Linked DNA regions of Mus musculus. The protein of the gene in region 1 interacts with the protein of each later gene in a pairwise test. Links are inferred from orthologs where the notes say so. Each region holds a gene or a part of one and is shown on either strand. Other genes may lie near its edges.

The links. The genes of interacting proteins can lie anywhere in the genome.
Region 2: the proteins of Kash5 (region 1) and Jagn1 interact in binary tests that used the Homo sapiens proteins (3 or more experiments, as listed by UniProt). The two-hybrid records come from large-scale screens. The link is inferred for Mus musculus from reciprocal best matches to the Homo sapiens genes KASH5 and JAGN1.
Region 3: the proteins of Kash5 (region 1) and Cdc73 interact in binary tests that used the Homo sapiens proteins (3 or more experiments, as listed by UniProt). The two-hybrid records come from large-scale screens. The link is inferred for Mus musculus from reciprocal best matches to the Homo sapiens genes KASH5 and CDC73.
Region 4: the proteins of Kash5 (region 1) and Rnf146 interact in binary tests that used the Homo sapiens proteins (3 or more experiments, as listed by UniProt). The two-hybrid records come from large-scale screens. The link is inferred for Mus musculus from reciprocal best matches to the Homo sapiens genes KASH5 and RNF146.

Annotation. Positions count from the first base shown.
Region 1 is NC_000073.6:45,201,526-45,206,774, reverse strand, and holds the start of Kash5 (protein KASH5), read left to right. Parts: upstream 1-1,882; 5' UTR 1,883-2,071; coding exon 2,072-2,183; exon of another isoform or gene 2,184-2,332; intron 2,333-5,249. UniProt on the Homo sapiens protein: As a component of the LINC (LInker of Nucleoskeleton and Cytoskeleton) complex, involved in the connection between the nuclear lamina and the cytoskeleton.
Region 2 is NC_000072.6:113,440,823-113,445,896, reverse strand, and holds the start of Jagn1 (protein jagunal homolog 1), read right to left. Parts: upstream 3,329-5,074; 5' UTR 3,189-3,328; coding exon 3,100-3,188; coding exon of another isoform or gene 3,093-3,099; intron 1-3,092. UniProt on the Homo sapiens protein: Endoplasmic reticulum transmembrane protein involved in vesicle-mediated transport, which is required for neutrophil function.
Region 3 is NC_000067.6:143,699,566-143,704,753, forward strand, and holds the start of Cdc73 (parafibromin), read right to left. Parts: upstream 3,329-5,188; 5' UTR 3,060-3,328; coding exon 2,929-3,059; intron 1-2,928.
Region 4 is NC_000076.6:29,358,915-29,363,549, forward strand, and holds the start of Rnf146 (E3 ubiquitin-protein ligase RNF146), read right to left. Parts: upstream 2,790-4,635; intron 2,756-2,789; coding exon of another isoform or gene 2,482-2,755; intron 2,432-2,481; 5' UTR 2,371-2,431; intron 1-2,370. Other genes in the region: Gm30698 (verprolin-like), read left to right, coding at 2,482-2,755, 2,790-3,595. UniProt on the Homo sapiens protein: E3 ubiquitin-protein ligase that specifically binds poly-ADP-ribosylated (PARsylated) proteins and mediates their ubiquitination and subsequent degradation. May regulate many important biological processes, such as cell survival and DNA damage response.

The DNA of each region.
Region 1 (5,249 bases):
AGACTCCTGACTTGGAACACATGCCATGCTTCGCACATAAATGTGTCAAGCTGGGCATGGTGGCGCATGCCATTAATCCCAGCACTCGGGAGGCAAAGGCAGGCGGATTTCTGAGTTTGAGGTATGATTTTACACATCCATTTTCCGCCATGACAATAAACTGTTTAGAATCATAGACTGTCTCTTTTCATCAAGATCTGCTGTGGGAGCCATGAAGAAGGCCTTCACCTTCAGAGCCACAACCCACTCCCCCATAGAAGGCTTCTCTGCGCTCCCAGTCACAACCTCCTTCCCTTACCAAGATAAGGACAATAATCCCTGTGAGACTAGCTGGAGTTCCCCTTCTCCCCCAACCCCTGCCCCAGGCTCCAGGCTAGATGCTGTCCCCAGACCTCAGGCCCCTGCTCTTCCAGGACTCCCAGCCGTGCCAGGATTTCCAAGAGTCTGAGAACCCCACAACCCTGGCCTTGTCACAGGCCTGGGACCCCAGAAGGAGCTCTGGCTTTCCCACCCTGGGAGCAATGTCACTTCCTTACAGCCCAGCATCCACCCCAGAGGCAGTATGGGATAAGCCCAGTCAAACTCCCTGCTTCTGTGTCCTGAGTGGCCTGCAATGTGGATGCTGGGAATCCATCTCAGGTGTTCTGGAAAAACATCCATTGCTCTTAAACAGTGGTCTATGTTTCCAGCCCCAGGAATGGATGTTGATAATAGGGACAAAGCTAACAGGGTCCAGAATGCACCACAAGTTGTCCTGAAAACACCCGGCAGACCTTTCATCTAGACCAGGCGTCCTAGTTTGCTTTCTACTGCTGCGGTGCGTGAGCACCACGATCAAAAACAACTTGGGGTGAGCACCATGATCAAAAACAACTTGGGGAGTCTATTTCATCTTGTGATAGATCACAGTCCATCACAGAGAAGAGGCAGGGTAGGGGCTCGAAGGAGGAACTGAAGCTTGCTCAGGGTTTTGTTTTGTTTTTTTTCATACAACCCAGAAGCACCTTCCCAGGGGTGGTCTTGCCCACAGTGGGCTGCCATCCACATCACTCATTAACCAAGAAAATATCCCCACAGGCTTGCCTACTGACAGGGTAACTTTTCAGTTGAGGTTTTCAGATGACTCTGGCTTTTGTCAAGGCAACAAAAAACTAAACAGCACACACAGGGTCTGATGGTCAGTAAGGTGAGAAAGACCTTGCACTTTTTGCCTCTACCTCCCGAGTACTGGTACACTACCCTGCCCAATTCACTAGGCCCTAGGGATTGAATGAGGGCACCCTCAGTCAAACACCGTACCCCTGAGCTACATGCCCAGTCCTTATCATTACATGCATGTGTTTTTAAACAGCAAGGGGTAGGAAAGTGAACATGATAGGGTCTGCATGTGGAATTCAGGGGCCCTCCTTGCACCATGTGGGTCCTGGGGATTCTTCTCAGATCGATCACCGGGATGGGTGGCAAGTGTCTTTACTCTTTTTTGGTTTGGTTTTTTTTTTTTTTTTTTTTTGGCTTTTTCGAGACAGGGTTTCTCTGTGTAGCCCTGGCTGACCTGGCACTCACTTTGTAGACCAGGCTGGCCTCGAACTCAGAAATCTGCCTGCCTCTGCCTCCCAAGTGCTGGGATTAAAGGCGTGCACCACCACGCCCGGCTGTTGGACCCTTAATAATAAAAAAGTTCGAATAGTCCACAGGCATGGACTGAGGCAGGGTGATTGCTTCAAGTCCGAAGCCATCCTGGGCTACATAGCTAAGCAGTAAGTAGAAACTATAATAGTTTGGGAAAACAGCTTGGGTACCTATTAATGCGGGGGGCGGGGGGGGGGGAGGGAATGGAGCGGAAGTGAGGCTGGACCAGACTGCGCATCATTGTGACAGTGGCGGGCGAGCCAGACCCAAAAGAAAGAACTTGGTTCAAAGACTGACAAGAAGAAAAGGATGAACAGGGAGTCCTTCGGTTGAACTCTCTCCTGCTTGGCCCTATTTTGTCAAGCAGAAGGAAAGGATTTTTGTACCGCAGAAGAAAGCTGCCGATAATATCGCGCCATCACCGCTAGCCCCACTAGTGCGCATGCACTCGATCCTCAGGTCCAGCCTATCCTCCCGAGAAGCTCTACGCATGCGCCAGCTCAAGGGTCTTCGTAAGGAGAGACCCGGGCGCCATCCACTCGGAGTGCGCTTGCGTGAGTACAAGAGCCTGAGAGGGCGGGACTTGCAGGAGGCCGGCTCATTTGCATTTCTGGCGGGAAAAGGCGCGTGTGAACACGCCTCTTCCGTGACATTCGCAACCGCCGTTCGTCGCTGGTGTCCCTCAACTGAGTCCCGACTCCAGGTACGCCCTGCCTGTGGCGACTTTCATGGCAGGTTCCCCGGTAACATCACCTGCCAGCTCCTTCAAAAACGCCCCAAGTTTTGAGACAAGGTTTCTCTGTGTAGCCCTGGCTGACCTGGAACTCACTCTGTAGACCAGGCTGGCCTCGAACTCCGAAATCCTCCTGCCTCTGCCTCCCGAGCGCTGGGATTAAAGGCGTGCGCCACCGTGACCGGCTTCCTCAGGAAAATTCTAGTGGCAACTTCGGCAATCCTGTCAGACTCTTGAAACTTCCGGTTGCTTTTTGTTGCTTGTTTTCTATTTTTGTTTGAGACAGACCCTCCAAGTGCTGCCCAGGCTGGCCACGACCTCATGATCCTCATTCCCCAGTTTTAGGATTACAGCTCTCCCAGATGTGCCCAACTGCAATCTTCTAGAACTTTTGAAACCTAACACTTAATCTATTTTGTTTTTGTGGGTAGGGTAGGTGTTTTTGTTTTGAGACAGGGTTTCTTTGTGTAGCATTGACTGTCCTGGAACTCTCTCTGTAGACCAGGCTGGCCTGTGTGCTTCTGGTTCCCACGTGCTGGGATTAAAGGTGTGCACCACCACTGCCTGGCTTTTGTTTGGGTGTTTTTGGTTTTTGTTGTTGTTGGGGTTTTTTGTTTGTTTGTTTGTTTTTGAGTATTTTGCCGGCATGTTTGTATGTGTGTCAGGTATGTGCCTGTGGAGACCAGGTGGTTTTGTATCCCTCTGAACTAAAATTGCAGATGAGGAGGAGTTCACATGTGTGTAGTGGGATTCCAACCCATATCTATCTGGAAGAGTAAACTGTTAGTCCTCTTAACGACTAAGCTACCCTCCAGGGACTCTCTAGGGCTTCAGTAAATTGCCCAGACTCTACTCAAAACCTTGGATCCTGCTGCCTCAGCCTCCTGAGTGCTGGTATCACAGGTGTAGCCCACCACGCCAGCCGCTAGGATCTTCTAGATATCCCATCAGAGTCTCCCTCAAAAACCTGTCAGAGACTTTTCCTCTGAAATCTTGGTGGAGATTTGGTGTTCAAGTCCTATCTGATACTTTAGAAATCTGTAGTTGCCCTACAAGTTCCGCCGGGGACTCTGAAATCTAGTGACACCCCAGAAATGCAGCCCTTGAATTCTAGTCCAGGGATCCCCTCCAGACTTCCTCCATGTTTAAAACCCACAAGACACTCACTGGCCACCTGATATCCCTTGTTCCTCAAGATTTTGTCCGAGTTTCCCCTTGAAAGAGTCTCAGAAAGCCTCTTCTTTCCCTGGTGCCTTCTAAAAGCCTCTGAGATGGACAGCAGGAGGATCCCCACTAGCTGAAGACCAGCCTGCTTTACACAGCTTCAGAAGGCCCACTACAGCTAAAGCTACATAATATATATTTACTAAGTCCCTGTCTCCAAAAGCCAGATAATAATGTCTCCAGAAAACATTCGGCTGCCGGAATACAGGCAAGGCAGAGTGATGGCTGCATTCCCTGAGGAAAGGGAGAGAGGCTGCTTCTCTCCCCTTCGGTGACAAAGATATAGGCTGGATCACTCCAGATTCAAAATAGATTAAGGCGGGCTTACGAGGAGGCATCAACCTCCACCCACCTCACACGTGGAGATCAGTGAAGTCACACATCCAGGCTAAGCTTAGCAAAGGTGTTTTATAAAGCTTAGACGGGGAGTGATAACGTGCCAGCTAGGGGCTGGGATTATGTCCTTACATGGTCAAAAGCTGAGACCCCGGGGGCGGGGGGGGGGGGGGTTGGCACTTATGGGTGGATAGCTGGAAAGTGGAGAGGAGAGGTGTTAGCCCCAAGTTTTGTCCTTGTGGGCAGAGTTGAGGGGAGAAGAGCAAAGGAGGTTTCTTAGCTTTTGCAGGGGATGAGCAGGGGTTCCAAACAAACAAAGGGGAGCCAAGCAGGAGGAAACCCAGGCTCTCTCTACCCTTGGCCCCAGTCCCTAGAGGGACTACTGACAGTGCCTCCTTTTCTCCTGAAAGTGACTGGCCAGTCGGGCGTGGTGGCCAGCACTAGGGAGGCAGAGGCAGGCAGATTGGATTTCTGAGTTCGAGGCCAGCCTGGTCTACAAAGTGAGTTCCAGGACAGCCAGGGCTATACAGAGAAACCCTGTCTCAGGGAAGAAAAAAAAAAGTGACTGGCCAGGCTGTAATAGAGGCAGGACAGCACTGTCAGGGTGCAGAGGAGGGAGTCCCTGTGACCACAGAAGCCTGTGAGAGTCAAGCCCACTCATAAATATAGGCCTTGGGAGTGTCTGTAAAGATGTCTCAGTGGTAAAGAGCACTGAGTTCAATTCCCAGCAACCACATGGTGGCTCACAACCATCTGTAATGGGATCTGATGCCTTCTTCTGTCATGCAGGCATGCATGCAAATAGAGCACTCATATAAATAAATAAACAAACAAACAAATAAATAAATTTTATTTTTAAAAAGGGGGAGCAGCATGGAGATGGCTGGTGGAGGAGAAAAACAACAGAGTTGATTTTCAACAGAGAAGAGCCTAGAGAGAAGGCCCGGTGGTTAAGAGAACTTGCTGTGTGTCAGCGTGAGGGCACATGCCTTTAGTCCCAGCACCCTGAAGCAGGTGGATCTCTTGAGTTCAAGGCTGGTATTCCTGGCAAGTGTTAGGCCAGCCAGATCTCCAGAGAGAGACTCTTTGTTTGGAAAAGAAAAGAATAAGAAGCCACTGAGACACTTACTACTTTTGCAAATGACCAAGTTTTGATTCTCAGATGGCACATGCCAGCTCACAACCTTCTCTCTCCAGTTCCAGGTGCTCTGATGCCCTCTTCTGACCTCCACCACATCACAAAACACATTTAAAAAAAAAAAAAAAAAAGGGTGAGAAGCAGGCCTGGTGATGGCCATGCACATTCTTTTTTTGTTTGTTTGTTTTG
Region 2 (5,074 bases), on another chromosome or scaffold:
GCAAGTACTCTTACAGCTGAGCCATTGCAAGGGGGGGAGGGGGGTCTCTTCGCCACCACCCCCCACCCCCCACCACCCCCGCCCAAGTAGAGTTAATAATCTTCATGAGATAACAACTCTGTATCTGGTGATATCTCAAACTTCAGGAGTCTGACCCCAAGGAGTCTTTTTAGGCATATTTAGGCACAGCATGGTTTGGTGGAAATTTTCCTGGCGATGACTATCGAGGCCTGTGTAAAGATGAACAACAAATGGCTTTAGAACTAATAGAATATGGCCCACTGGTCAGCACAACCAGGATGCGTGTGCCTGCGAGAGGCGGAGGGCTGAGGAAGGTGTGCCCTGGGGACTTCATGCTGTTACGCAGCATCTCTCTGCGAGTCCTCAGTCATCACGTCACCCCTAATCTATGGGTTGTATGAAAACTCTAAGGGGGTTTCCAGGCCCTCACGAGGCAGTGTCCTTAGCAGGACACAAATAGCGATTGATCTTTTTCAAGCAGGCACTTTAATTTGCTGCTGGAGCAAATTAATGATCCATCCATCACTCTCAGAAAGGACTTAGAGATGGAGACTGTGAGTGACGTCCACCACCCTTAGAAAGAATGTGGAGATGTAGGTTGTTAGTAAAGTTAGGTTAAGATGTTTTAGTTAGTGGCTTTGATCTAGAAAATCTTGGGTTACAACTTAGAAAGGTACACTTTTAAATATTGAGCGAGGGTTGTTTTTTAAGGTCAGAGAACAAGAACAATGACAACCCAGCCAGCTCTAGCTGACCTGCCTCTCTTGCTAACGCTGGGTTGGTGATCAAGATGATTAATTTCTTGTACCCATTTTTGCCCTCAGCTTCCTGATAGGATTTAATAAGAAAAAAAAATTTTTTTTTTGTGGAAGAAAATTTGTTAATGAATAGATCTGCACCCTGAGGATTTAAAGTAGAAATGACTGATTGTTTCTTATATAAAACTGTAGATTTATGATTCTTTTAAGATTTTTATAAGATTATTTTTTTAAGATAAATAATAATTGACTCTTTCTTTGTAATTACAAACTGCAGCCTGCCAGGAAGAGAAACTGGCTGAGACAACTGCTTGCTCACACTTGGTTAATCTATAACAGGTTGCTTAGTTACGAATGCATGTGGGTTCTTGGGAATAATTTTTTTTTCACCCATAATATGTAAAACACTTGATCGTGCAAGGGTATTGGGAAACTTCATTGTAATCATTCACTTAAGGAAAAATAGAATGTAACCACATCGTGATTCAAAGATTTGGCTGGGATACATAAGCTGTAGGTGAAAGGGCTGTTCGAGCTTTGCTTCGTCTACCAAATGTATGTGTGTGTATGCATACATGTGAAGTTGTTGGAGCTTGTTGGAGATTGCATCATCTACCAAGTGTGTGAGTGTGTGTGCCTGTATTACATCACTGCCAACCCCACATCCCCACCTTGGATCACTGAACACAACTGTCAGAGTTGGCCGTCAACAGATAGCTAATTCAATCCCATGTGCACAATAAGCTTAAGGCTTGACTGCACCCTTTGGTCCCAGGCCCTGGGGGAAAGGAAGGAAGTGCATGCTTGGGGACTGGTCCCACTGGATCTCTATCCTAACGTCCATGGCCGTCAGCACCCCTCCTTTCCCCAAGGTGAAATGGAGGGTGCTGTGGGGGCCTGCCCACTCCATGGCAGTGCCCTGAAGGAGTCAGACTACCATGGCATCGCAGGCCCAGAGGGCAGACATTTTTTCTAGTTTTTAATTGGGGTGTGGGAGGGTTTGGGGAGGTTTTCTATCACTGTGTTGTTTTTCTGCTGAGGGTGGAATATTCTGCCCTTTTAATCAAGGTGATTGTGATTTTGACTAATAAAAAGGACTTTATAATTGAAGAAAAAAAAAAAAAAGACTTGACTGCATTGAAACTCTTTGTAAACTTCATGTGACATCTTCCATAAAGATAGGGTCTACAGGTGGTGTCACACGCCTTTAATCTTATCAGGCAGAGGTAGGTGGGTCTCTGAGTTTGATGCCAGCCTGGTCTACAAAGTGAGTTCCAAGAAAGCCTGGAATTACAAGGAGAAACCCCATCTCGAAAAACCACTAAAGGAAGGACAGAGGCAGGTGAGGGAAAGAAAGACTCAGTGCAGAACACAATACAGACAGGATGGATAGATAGCCTGTAAGAGTTTATCAAACAAATAAAGGAACGTAGAAAGATCTCCTTATATGGACGTATTCCTAAACCTCAGGATGGACAGGGTCACCTTTTACCACCCACATCCAGACAGCCCCAAGTTTAGCAGCCACCACACTCCTATGCTGTGCCTTTACACAAACGACTTGCTAATTCCTCACCAAAACCTAAAAATCATGAAATTTTCTCCCTCTAAAAATGTGAAAACTGAGACTCCAATTGGAAATAACCCGAGTTGGAGCTGGAGAGTAGGCTCGCTGCAGTGGAGGCGGTTTGGGTTCATGAACCACAACTCTAGCTTCCAAAATCACTTCTGACGTGTGGTTAGAGACATGGCTTGCCACCTTTCTGGGCTTGGCTCTCAGCACCAACCTCGGGTAGACTCCAAATGCCATGTGTAACTCCAGCTCCAACGCCCTCTACTGGATTCTGCGAGCAGTTGCTCTCACGTGCACAAATACACACACACACACACACACACACGAAATTAAAAATAAAAATCTTTAAAAATGTTAAGGAGTTCTCAGGCCAAGTGCATCCCTGAAAAGCCAGAAGCACTCAGGAGACTAAAGAGAAGGCTGTGAGTTCGAGATCAGCCTGGACGCTACCGTGGGATCTAGACTTGAAAAAGAAAAGTGGCAGTGGCGTTCCCAAGGTCACCCAGGGGGCCAGCACCGAACCACGAGCCTGTGCAGGCTGGATCCCCTCAAAGAATAAGTCGGACCAAGGTGGGCCACGGGGTTTCCCCGGCCTGGAAACAGAGCAGAGGTCGTTAGAGCAGGGGACCTGGCGGGTACACGACAACTGGCTGGGGGGCGACAGCGTGAGGACCACTGGCGTCGCTTCTTCCCAGGATCTGCAGGCTCCGCCGGGAAAGGCCTCGGTACGCCTGGCTCACCTCGTACCTCATCTGGTAGTGCATGGCGACGCGCTCCCGGTGCTGAAAGTCGCTGCCGTCGGTGCCGGCCGCTCGCGGGCCTGCCCGAGACGCCATTGTACAGAACTAAGGCCCCTAACGCCGACCCTCTGCTCACACACCCAGCCAAGCACCCTGCGAACCCCTTCCCTGCTACCTCGGCCCGGCTTTCACTACACGGCGTGGAGCTCCGGGAGAACTTCCGGCCTCTCTATCCTGGGAGGACTGACTCTGTGGTTCCTTCTTCGCGCATGCGTTCTTGGCCTTTCTGAGGTTCTTTGCCAGAGTAGAGCGATTGCGGAATTAACAGTCCCTAGAAATGGTTCACTGACCTGCCCAGAGATCCCATCGTGCAGAACCGAACCCCAGGCCGCTGATGCCGAGCAACCAAGCCCCCAGCAAACCCCTTTTAACTTCATTTAAAGCATTTAAAATAATTACTTGTGTATGGGTGTTTTGTCTGTCTGTCTATGCACCACGTGTGGTTTTTGTGCCTGCAGAGGCTGGAAGAGGACATAGGATAGATTTGCTAGCTATACTGTGAGTGCTGGGATTTAAACCTAGTTCTATTGACCTCTTAACGGCTGACCCAGACCTTAAGTTGTAATTCTTGAGACAGGGCTTCATGTGCTTCATGCTGGCCTCGAACTCTTGACGGTCTTTTTTGCTTCAATCTCCCAAGGCGTGATTATAGTCTTAAACCATACCTAACTAGACTTGGCATCTTTGCCCAGTGGCTTGTTGCACATCTATATTTCCTGAAGCTCCACACAACCTTGGGGTTAGGGTCCAGAGCAAAGACGTTATACAACGAAAAGTATAGGGTGGTCAATGCTGAGAGGCGTCACTCAGAGGCTGAAGCAGTAAAGAGGCATCTCTTCCTCCCTGCAATGCTCTCCATAGTCTGAGACCCTGCGTCCTGAGGGCTAACTGGAACAAAGATGGCTGTGAATATTTGTAATCTCCTCAACGTGAAAGGTGGAGGCAGGAACAGGAGGAGTTCATTGAGGCCAGCCTGGCCTGTGTTGAACGTTTGCCAATAAATTAATTAAATAATTAATAACTGGAGAGTTATTAACAGTGGTTAAGAGTACCTACTGTTTTTGCTAAGGACCCAGATTGTTTGTTTTATTGAGACAGAGTCTCACTATGTCCTGGCATTTGCTATGTGGGTAGCCTTGAACTCACAGAGTGTTCTCCTTGCCGGATGTGTTATACAGCGAATGCATGTCGGGTGCCAGGGGAAGTCAGGAGAGGCCGTCAAACCCCCAAATGCCCTGGAACTGGAGCGCTTGTTGTGAGCTACCATGCAGGCTCTGGAAATCCAACTCAGGTCCTTTTCAAGAACAATCGCTCTTAGCCACTGATCCATCTCACCACCCCTTTGGGGTTTGGCTCCCAACACCTACAGCTCACAACTCACTGAAACTCCAGTTCCAGAGTCTCTAGCACCCTCTTCTGGCCTAGGTGGGCACTGCATTCATACTGTATACAGACCTACACGCAGGTCAAATACCCAAACACACATAAGATTTTTTTAAATTGATTTTTATTTTTTAAGGCAAACAAATGGCTGTACTGGGCATAGGAGTGTATGCCTGTGATCACAGCACTTGGGAAGTTGAAGCATGAGTTTGAGGTCAGCCTAGGCAATACAGTAAGATCTCTTCTACCTACCTACCTACCTACCTACCTACCTACCTACCTACCTACCTATCTGAACATATCTAGTTGCTGTATGGAGACTGGGCTGGAGGGGAGAAAGGTGAAGTCTACTTCAGTAGCAGAAGCAAGAAATAACCCAGTGGCTTTAGAGCTGAACTTGGAAGATCTTAGAGTTGAAATATGGCTGAGGCACCCTGCCAGAGCCGAGGCTGCCAGCAGTGTCCTCAGGGTAATTCAGAGAGCTGTGGGGCCTGCCAGCCTGGGCCTGCTCACCTTCAGAGTCTATGCAGCACCCCAAA
Region 3 (5,188 bases), on another chromosome or scaffold:
ATATATATATATATATATATATATAAAATTTTTCTTTTCTTTTTTTTTTTAGACAGGCAAGGTCTCATGTATTCCAACTGGCTTCCAAGCAGCTACCCAGCAGAGGACAGCATGTACTCTCCACCATATCTCACTGTATGTGGTGCTTGAGATCAACTGCAGAGACTCAGATATACTAGGCAAGCACTCTACCAACTCAGTGAGCTACATCCTCCACCCCACTGTATACATATTTTAAAATAAGACCTAAATTGAGTTCTGAACTCTGTCAACAGAGAAAAAAATGAAATCCAACCAGCTGCACAATGGAAAGGATTATCCATAGAAGACAAACTACTCAGATGAAGGTTTTACTAGGGACGCACTTACAAGATGCACATTGTATAACTCTTTGTAAACAAGACACTGCTATACAACATCCTCAACAATAGTCTGTAAGTTAAAAGGATGTACTTCGCCGGGCGTGGTGGCGCATGCCTTTAATCCCAGCACTCGGGAGGCAGAGGCAGGCGGATTTCTGAGTTCGAGGCCAGCCTGGTCTACAAAGTGAGCTCCAGGACAGCCAGGGCTATACAGAGAAACCCTGTCTCGAAAAACCAAAAAAAAAAAAAAACCAAAAAAAAAAAAAAAAAAGGATGTACTTCAAAGAGATGATCCTTATAACATCTCTCAAACTGACACTAAAACAAAGCCAAAATGTAACTCTGTGATCCAACAATGTAGTCTTGAGGATACAAGCTCTCTAGTGATAACACATAGACTGCTCTGCAAGCAGGTCCTTTCTCCTCCAACTTCTTATGACGGTTCAACTGTATGAATCCATTTAAATACAGCTCACTGAAATGTGTCCTAAATCTCCTTTACTAGCCTCTATTATCACTTTTCCTCTAAACAAGTGGTCCTCAGCCCTCCTGATGCTACAAACCTTTAATACAATTCCTCCTGTTGTGACCTCCAACTAAAAAATCATTTTCATTGCTACTTCATAACTGTAACTTTGCTGCTGTTATAAATGTAACTATGTTTTCTGATGGTCTCAGGTGATTGATCCCTGGAAAGGATCTTTCCACGCCCTCCAGAAGGGTCTCAACTCACAGGTTAAGAACCACTGCTCAAAACTGATATTATGTCCAATCACTCATTAGTAGTTATTATACAAATTATCATAAAAATAGAAAGCACTGAACACATTAAGGGTACGGACTAATCTTTTATCGATATACATTTAGACGTGCATACATGTAGAGTTAATAACTTCTGCTAAAAATTTAATGTTGAAAGTTTTAAATTTCTTCTAAGTTTTACTTTTTCACTCCTTTGTACATGCTTGTCAAGCCATGTCCTTTCCAGGCCTCATGTCTTAAGTCTATAGCTCCCCCACACTGGAAGGCTATCCCACTACTTCACTCAACTTCTTGGCTGTTCTTTCAAGTTTACTCATCTGTTCATTCATTTATTCCAGGCTTTGGATAATGCACCTCACCTACAAGGAAACAACTGTTCTCTTCTTATCAGCTACAAAACAGTTCAGATCAACTTAATCTGTTTCACCTTTTCTAGCCAAAATAGTTTAAGGAAGGAACCAGAGTTTTAGGCTTTTTTTTTTTCAAGTTAAATTTCCTTTATCCCTTAGGTTTGTTAAAGAAAAAATATTCATTAAAACCCAATAAAATAAGCCGGGCGTGGTGCCTTTAATCCCAGCACTTGGGAGGTAGAGGCAGATGAATTTCTGAGTTTGAAGCCAGTCTGGTCTACAGAGTGAGTTCCAGGACAGCCAGGGCTACACAGAGAAACCCTGTCTCAAAAAACAAACAAACAAACAAACAAAACCCAATAAAATAATTGTGTTATTTATTTGAAAGAGTAAAACATGGGAAACTCAAAATATCACTTAATCAACATTTCAAAAAGGAAATCAGTAAGTCCAAAGAAATCTTAAATTGATTTTCTCGTGTTAAATTGATCGTTCAAAGTTATTCAAACAAAATGGGTACCAAAATTCTGACTCATTCTAGTAATCAAAGAGAAGCATCAATAGTAGTAACATCATTACAGAGGACTCAAAGGATTCTTCAACTTGACCCTCTGTGATTTCCTGAACGACTTACATCCACGGCATCCATGGAACAATAATCACAAATGGTTTTGTTTTGTTTTTCCTTTGAAGGCTCTTCCTGAAGAGCACACAGGATCAATTTCTCAGACCCGTATGTAAAGCTCACTGCTTTTCCCCCGGTCTCACTGCATTTCCCCGGTAACTTTCTCCCCAACAAAGTCCTGCTTTCAGCTCCAATACTGTTTCAGCAAACTTCCAAACTCTCCTAATCGTCCCTTAACTCTAAGTGATAGCTGTCTATTCCTTTTTTTTTTTCTCCCCCAACCCCTCTTGAGGAATAACATCAACCTACCCCTATTATGAAAAAAGAAAAAAAAGAAAATTGCCGAGGCGCTCGAGGAGCCAAAGAAGACAGTTGCAACACATGGCAGGCTCTGGGAGATTACAAAAAAAAAAAAAACCTAAGAACAAAAAGCGACTCGGTGGCCGGCAGATGCTGCGATCGATCGCTGTCCTTCTACACCTCCGTCCAGGTAGCCGTGCACCAGCCCCACACGGCGCGGACAACCTGTACACACTCCACGCCAACTGGCAAGTCGGAAACTCCCATGGTACCTTTCCCTTCGGCTTCTCCAACACAGAGAAGACTTGACCGCTCTAGAATCCGCTCCACTTCTTCCCTCCTCGCCCTAAAAGTACAACTTCTTCTCCAGAGAATAACTTTTTCCCCAGAGCACCCATTTTTTTTTCTCCCCCCTCTCATCCCTGAGGGACTCCGAGGAGGACAGGGAGGAGGGCTTTAGGGAAAGAGGTCGCCCGGGGGCGCCCGATGCTGCCCCGCCACCACTAGGCCACAGCCACGCCGCACTCACCCCCAAACTACATAGTTGGTCTTCACATTCTTGGGCCAGGAGAACTCCCCGAAGATCACTTCATCCCCCTTGACCACGATCTCCTTCTTCTGGATGTTGTACTGTCGCAGGACGCTGAGCACGTCCGCCATCTTCGCCCCCCTCGCTGCTGCCGCCGCCGCCGCCGCGGGCCCCGGGCCCCGCCGTCGCCGCCGCGCCTGCCGCCTCCTTCCCCCGTCGCCTCGCCCTCTTCCCCCCGCCGCCGCCGCCGCCGCCGCGAACCAACAGCCGCCACACTCAACAGCCGGCCGCGTCTACGACAGCAGCACGGGCAGAAGCCACCCAGGCCGCCGAGGACCCCGCGCTATATAAGGCAAGGCCCCGCCGCGGGCTGCCCGCGGAGAACGCCTGACTGACCCACGCTCCGCCGGGGCCGCGGGCCGCCGCCAGGGGGCGCCGTGGCCGCCCGAGCACACGCGCCACCCAGACGCCCGCGGGGCGCGCCGCCGACTTCGGGAAACGGGGAGCGGGCCTCGGCGCTCCGCGTGTGCGGCGCCCTAGCGGAACCGGGCCCCGGTGCGGTCTCAAGGCTCGCACGGGGCGAGCGACAGGTGCGCGCGCACCTGCTGGGCGCTTCCGCGCTTTTCAATCCCAGAGCGCGCGCCGCCGCCGGGTGATTTAAACTTTCCCTGCGCCAGGCTCCGCTTCCCTCCCTTGAACCCCAGGACTACCTTTCTGTCTGCATCGGAGCCCCACCGCACTCTGCGACATAGGTCCCCATGGTCAGGAACAGCTCCTAGGGAAAGCTGGAGCTTTGAAATGTGGACGTTTTCAAGTTTAGGCTGGATTTTAATAAGGGGTGTATTTGCAAAGAGGAAAAGAAGAGTTAGGTGGAGGACAATTCTTGCCCCGTTTGTTAGTCTCTGGTCTCCTAACATCGTTTGATTGGTAGACAGAATAAAATTAATCAGAGAAAAAGCTGAAAGCATCCCAACGCGTCGACGAAGGACCATTCATTGTTGACTCGTCCCCCTCCTTTCCTTGGAAACAACTTTTTCCATCCCCTCAGCTTCTCCCGGGTAATCACAAAAAAAGCCTCAAGTGATTTCAGGTTATGAATGGAAGAAATACTCCTTCAGAAACCTCAAGCTGTGAATTAGAACACTTTTTCAGACGAACAGACTTTTAAGTGGTACTCAAAAGGCTTACCGGTGCCTTTATGATTATGGGAACCTAGAAATCAATTCTGCATACTATTCATGGCCTGTGTACTTTAAACATATACTTCAAGCCTAATATTTCTTTTTCACTCTTTGTGAGAAGGAGGCACACTTTGTTACTTATAAAAACAAATACTTTGGTCTGTTTTTTTTTGGGGGGGGGGACTTTTGTTATGTGTGACAAAGTGTAATTTGGGTATAGAAAGAAGTATGAGGTTAAAAAAATGTCTGCTCCACAAATGTCTTTCTCCCGTCAATGTGTCTCAGAACCTCACTGCAAATGCAGGTTATAAAGAACTGACTGTGCTTGTCTGTCCCTTTCACATCTCTGAACTTATGCCTATATCACAGCATCCAGTATTTCCTTGTCCCCTTTGTTTGCTTCTCTACCTCCTAGGAGATGAACCGACTGTATGACATGAGATGAACCGACTGTATGACATGTAGTATATATTGGTCATATGTACTATACTTGGTACAGTGACAGCTCCTAGAACGATGTTGTAGTAAGTGAAAAGATAAAGGCTCCAAGTAAAGTCTGGGTAATAAATGCATAGGTAGGTTTCATGGAGTTAAGAGAGTCAACAATAGTTTTTATGAATTTTAATTCATATACAAATCATTTCCAACCAATTTCTCTTTTTGATTAATTTATGTTTTTAAGGTTAATGATCCTTAAACTCAACGTTGTAAGATACATGGTTAGTAATTTATAGTGTATAGCAGTTAAAGCACGGAAGTTCTACTTTGTTTTTGTTATATAAATTCCCTTAAATTGTCCCTCTCATGTTAAGTCAAGAAGGTCAAAATCTAATAAAAGATAATAGTAGTTGTAGAACTAAAGATTCGGGAAAGTAACTAAAAATTATATTCAAAATAGTTTTATTGCTGGGCAGTGGTGGCGCATGCCTTTAATCCCAGAACTTGGGAGGCAGAGGCAGGCGGATTTCTGAGTTCAAGACCAGCCTGGTCTACACAGTGAGTTCCAGGACACCCAGGGCTACACAGAGAAACCCCTGTCTTGAAAAAAACAAACAAACAAAAAAAAATTTTTGTTTTAT
Region 4 (4,635 bases), on another chromosome or scaffold:
ACCTATCTTGTCCATAAATATTTAATCTCTACAACTGGTTTGTACTTAAATATCAAAGCAAACAGAAACAAAGAAGTTTCGAAATAACCCATATAAATCTTTAAGAACACCTGCATTTTGGACCAGTCCATCCTTAGAACTGTTTTATTCCAGTTATACAAAAATCTTTGGTGCTCATAGACAAACTTTATCAAAGTATTCCATCAACAAAGCAGACTGCAGCTATCTGGGGATAACTTTACAAATGTAAGCAAGATGGAAACAATGTCTCTGTGAGGGCATTGTGCATATATTCTCTAAAACCTTGCAGGTTATGGTGACTTTTCCAATTTCTATATCTCACAGAATTTTCTAAGTTGAGACAAAATGGATTAATAGTCCATTAATCCAGCTACATTAAAAAAACTGAAAAATAGTCATATTTTATTACTTTAAAATTGTAACCACTGAAGAAATTTAAATCATAATTACTTGACTACATTAATACCTAATATAAATATTAGGGTTGATAATGTAAACAATTAGGATTAATTTTAAGCCAGCCAAACTTTTTAAAGATCCACCGTCCCTAGATAATAAACTTGAATAAAATATTGTTTCTTTAAGGAAAAAAAAAGGCGAATCAAAGAAAAAAGATGAACATATCACAATAGAAATAAAAATATAAATGTCAAATTATATACAGTTGGACATTTTCTGCTTATCCTATTTAAAGTTAAGGTGTAATGAAATAAGAGTTACTCAAACAGAATACACTATATAGAAAACATATCAATAGGGGGACTACAAACCTTATTATGTGTATCTGTTTACTTACATATGTCTCTATTATAAACACAAGAAAAATGAGTAGGGGTCAGATGGGATTTAACAAACACATCTTAAAACTTCTTAAGAAAGATTCCCAAATTCACAAGTATGTAACTGTTACAATGTGTCAATTTTTATACTTCATCATCAAATCAGTTTTAAAAGTCTAAGTTAAGCTTGGAAATAAGTGTTCTGTCAAAACCCAGTTCAGTTAAGTGGGGTTCCATACTTTTGAGGGATCTTCTTGCCTTGTGTATGACTGCCCTTAAGAAGCCCCATCCTGTGACTCTATTTACTTTTGTCTCCGTCCTTATACTTAAGTGTAAGGCTTTAAATTCCTTCTCTGCAAAGTGGGCGTTGTATTGATTTCATTAACTCATGAGATACAAATGTCAATTTATATTTATATGTAATACATGTATTCTCATCTAACAGATGTTTCAGGCTGGCAGACATTCTATAAATAAGAAAGTCCTCTTATTAACTGGTGAGTGACCTTTGCCAAGTTATCCCTATGCTTTTGTTACTTTGCTCTAGCCAGCCTCTGTAATTGGACAACTCCAAACATTTTAATTAGCAGGCCTTTAACAACAGGCTTTGTATTAACTAACTAGAAAGGTAAATGAGAGTATACAAAGAAGCAAAGGAAGCTGTAGACTAGTGTAAACAGTGTGTATGCTCAAAAAGACTGTTTCTAATCCACCCAGCAGTTACCCAAGTTCAGACTCTGTGATCAAGAAGGCAACCAAGCAAGGAGGTAGAAAAGACTCGGATCTTCCATCTCTCATACTGATAGGGAAATGTGATAAGTCCTTCAAACTCATATATGGCTGACAGAAAATATGTTTTAAACAGATGGATATGAAAAATTCTTCCTATTATTTTCTTCTTCAAAGTCAAGGAATCATGTTGGATCCAAAAAATAAAACAAAACAAACCCTCCAACAGTTTCAAAGTGGCACTTTTACTAAATGGCATGTCTCCTACAAAAAAAAAAAAATCATTTATGTTTGCATTCCTGTTATCTAATGAACAGTTATTTGGGACATTTCCCCATGACTACAATTCGACTCAGTTCTTAAACAGCACAAAACAGAAACTTTCAAACGTTTAATAACAGGGTTTTCATTCTTTCCCCATTACACACGCCCAATTAAGACATAAATAAACTCTATGATATCCAAGACCCAAGCAAACATATCCAAAACTCCATCTTTACTGTAGCAGTTACTCTTGAGTTTTCTCTAAAATGAGATTTACTTCACCTATTTTCAAGTGTTTCTACAGCTCCCAGACGCTTTTCACGCTCTGCTAGTATGTGTGGGTCGTTTTCTTAATTTGTTCTTTAATATGCCATGTTCTTTAAAAGTCTAATGATACAGATCATTTATTGTTATGTTCTACGCATTCAACTTCTATGACAATACGTGCCTTTCAATGCCCAAGCTCCAGGTGCACATCTAGTTTGCAAAAGAACACACACACACACACACACACATACACAGATAAAATGTAGTTGTCAGAATGCGTGTGCTAACTTACAGTGGGGAAACATCTTACCTAATTATAGAGGACGGTTCCATTTCCACATCCTCAAAAACAATGTCACATAGCCCTTTCTCTTTAAAAAAAAAAAAAAAAAAAAGTCCAGAAAATAAGACAGTGACAACAATGGGGATCCCGTGCGCTCTCAGATGGGGTGGAGGGTTAAGGAGAAAACTCCACATCCAGCAAGCAGAACAAAGCGACTGCCGGAGCTCTCAAGATGCACCCGGCTTGGGAGGCCCAACTGGTATCCCGACACCTCAGGCTGGTTTCGGGTTTGGGGAGCCATCAAAACAAGAACGCTCGGCGGCTTCCGCCAGCGCGAGGAGGAGGGGACGACTCCGGGCACTGGGCAAGACCCAGAGGCACAGCCGCGGCGGCGGCGGCGGCGGCAGGGCAGGCGGAAGATAGCATGCAGCCCGTGGCCGACTGAGGCCCGGTCGAGCCCGCTGGAGCTGCCCGCAGCCTGGCCTGCCTGCGCAGTAATGGCCGGGGCCGCGCCCGTCACAGTCCGGGCTGCGCCAGCTCGGCCTCCCTCCGCGCGCCCGTCCGGGCCGCGCTGGCCAAGGGCGTCCCCGTCCTACCGGCCCCCGACCCGCCGCCGCCCGCCGCGGACTCCGAGCGCCGCCTCGCAGCCAACGAAGCCGCAGTGCCCCGCCGAGGCCCGCAGCCCACGGCCCCCCGCGCTCCTCACCGGTCCGGCCCGGAGCCCACCTCTCGGCCGCCGCCGCAGCCACCTCGCAGTCTTTTCTCCTCCGCTTCGGAGCCCGCAGCGGACGGGGACGCGCGCGGCCGTCACGTGACCGCCCGGCGCTCAAGGGGCGGGGCCGCGCCGGCGGAAGCCACGCCCCCTCACCGTGATCCCGCGCGCGGCGGCCCTGGCTGGCGGTCCCCACGCTGGCTGCTGCTCTTCTCTGTCCCTTGCTGCGACCGGGCTGCTCCTTGTCCCTGTTCCGGTCCTCCCTCACCCTCTGCGTGGCGCATCTTGTGGCCTCCTGGTTCTGAACTGGTGGAGGTCCATCTAGGTGGCTTGTGGGAGGAAGCTAGACCTTCAGTACCAGGAAGAAGAGCCTTTCCAAAACTCAGCCTTGGGTCAAGTCCTATGTTTCCTTTGGCCGTGCCCTTGGAGAGACTACCGCTTGTTCCTTATACAAAAAAGGCACAAGAAAAGTCACGGCGTGGACTGGATGGTCCCCGAGATGCTCCAATTTATTCACCTCACAAATGGCCAGATATGTAATGGGAGAGGGGGTGTGCTGGGGTGTCTTTTAAACCCTAACAGCATAGGAAGCTAGAAGAAGAAATCGTCCCGCGAATCTAGAATAAATTTCATGGGTTAGTTTTATGGCAAGCATATGGTGTTACACATCAAAATCTAGTCCTTGTTCATTTTAACCGGCACATGATCTTTTTCAGAACAGTTTTCTCTACTTGAAGTTGCACAAAATGGACCAGAGAACCTTTTCACCTTTGAAAGTATTTCCGCATTCTGTAACTGTTTGCATTGTGCTTGCAACAATGTTGCATTTTGAGGTTACATCCACTGTTTGAATTCAGGACTGAAAAATGTACTGTGCACCTATTTATAGGGTTTCAAGGCCACTGATCCAAAGGAAGAGCTCATCTGCTTAACATTAATAGCTGTAAATCCAGAGCATGGGTTCGGGTTATTCATTCAGTTGTTATAGGAAATATTATATGAACTTTTATAGCCTGAAGAGAAAAGGTTGTACATCAATGTACGTTGAAAGGGATAAGACATTGAATAGGTGAGTCGATGTGAGCAAGCATGTGGGTCTATTTCATAGGCTTCAGATGTTAAAATATTCTTAATTTCAAAGGGATCTAGCGGTAGGAGGCTGATTCACCTTACTTGAGGATCTGGGTTCAATCCCTAGTACCATTGAGGGAAGGGGTTGGGGGGATTAAAAATGTTGATGGAAGCTACTGGCTAGCTAGGTTTCAACAGTGCATACCAAACAGTAACAAAGATGTTAGGCCAGAAGATACAGGAATTTGTAGCAAATGGTTACTGTGGCAACTATGGGCTATGGGGGAGGAGGGACACAAATATATGTTCTTGTATGCAGCATTCTCCTGGACCACTGTTAGAAAGTTTAGCCAGCCATTCAGTCCACAGGATCTTCCACACAATTGTGGCTTCTTTAGGGAAACAGGTACACTGTGTGTAAATGTCTCTTGGTATCAGCTATTTCAATACATTTTCTTCTAAGTAATACTATTTTTATAACTTTAATTAATGTACAGATATTGAGAAAC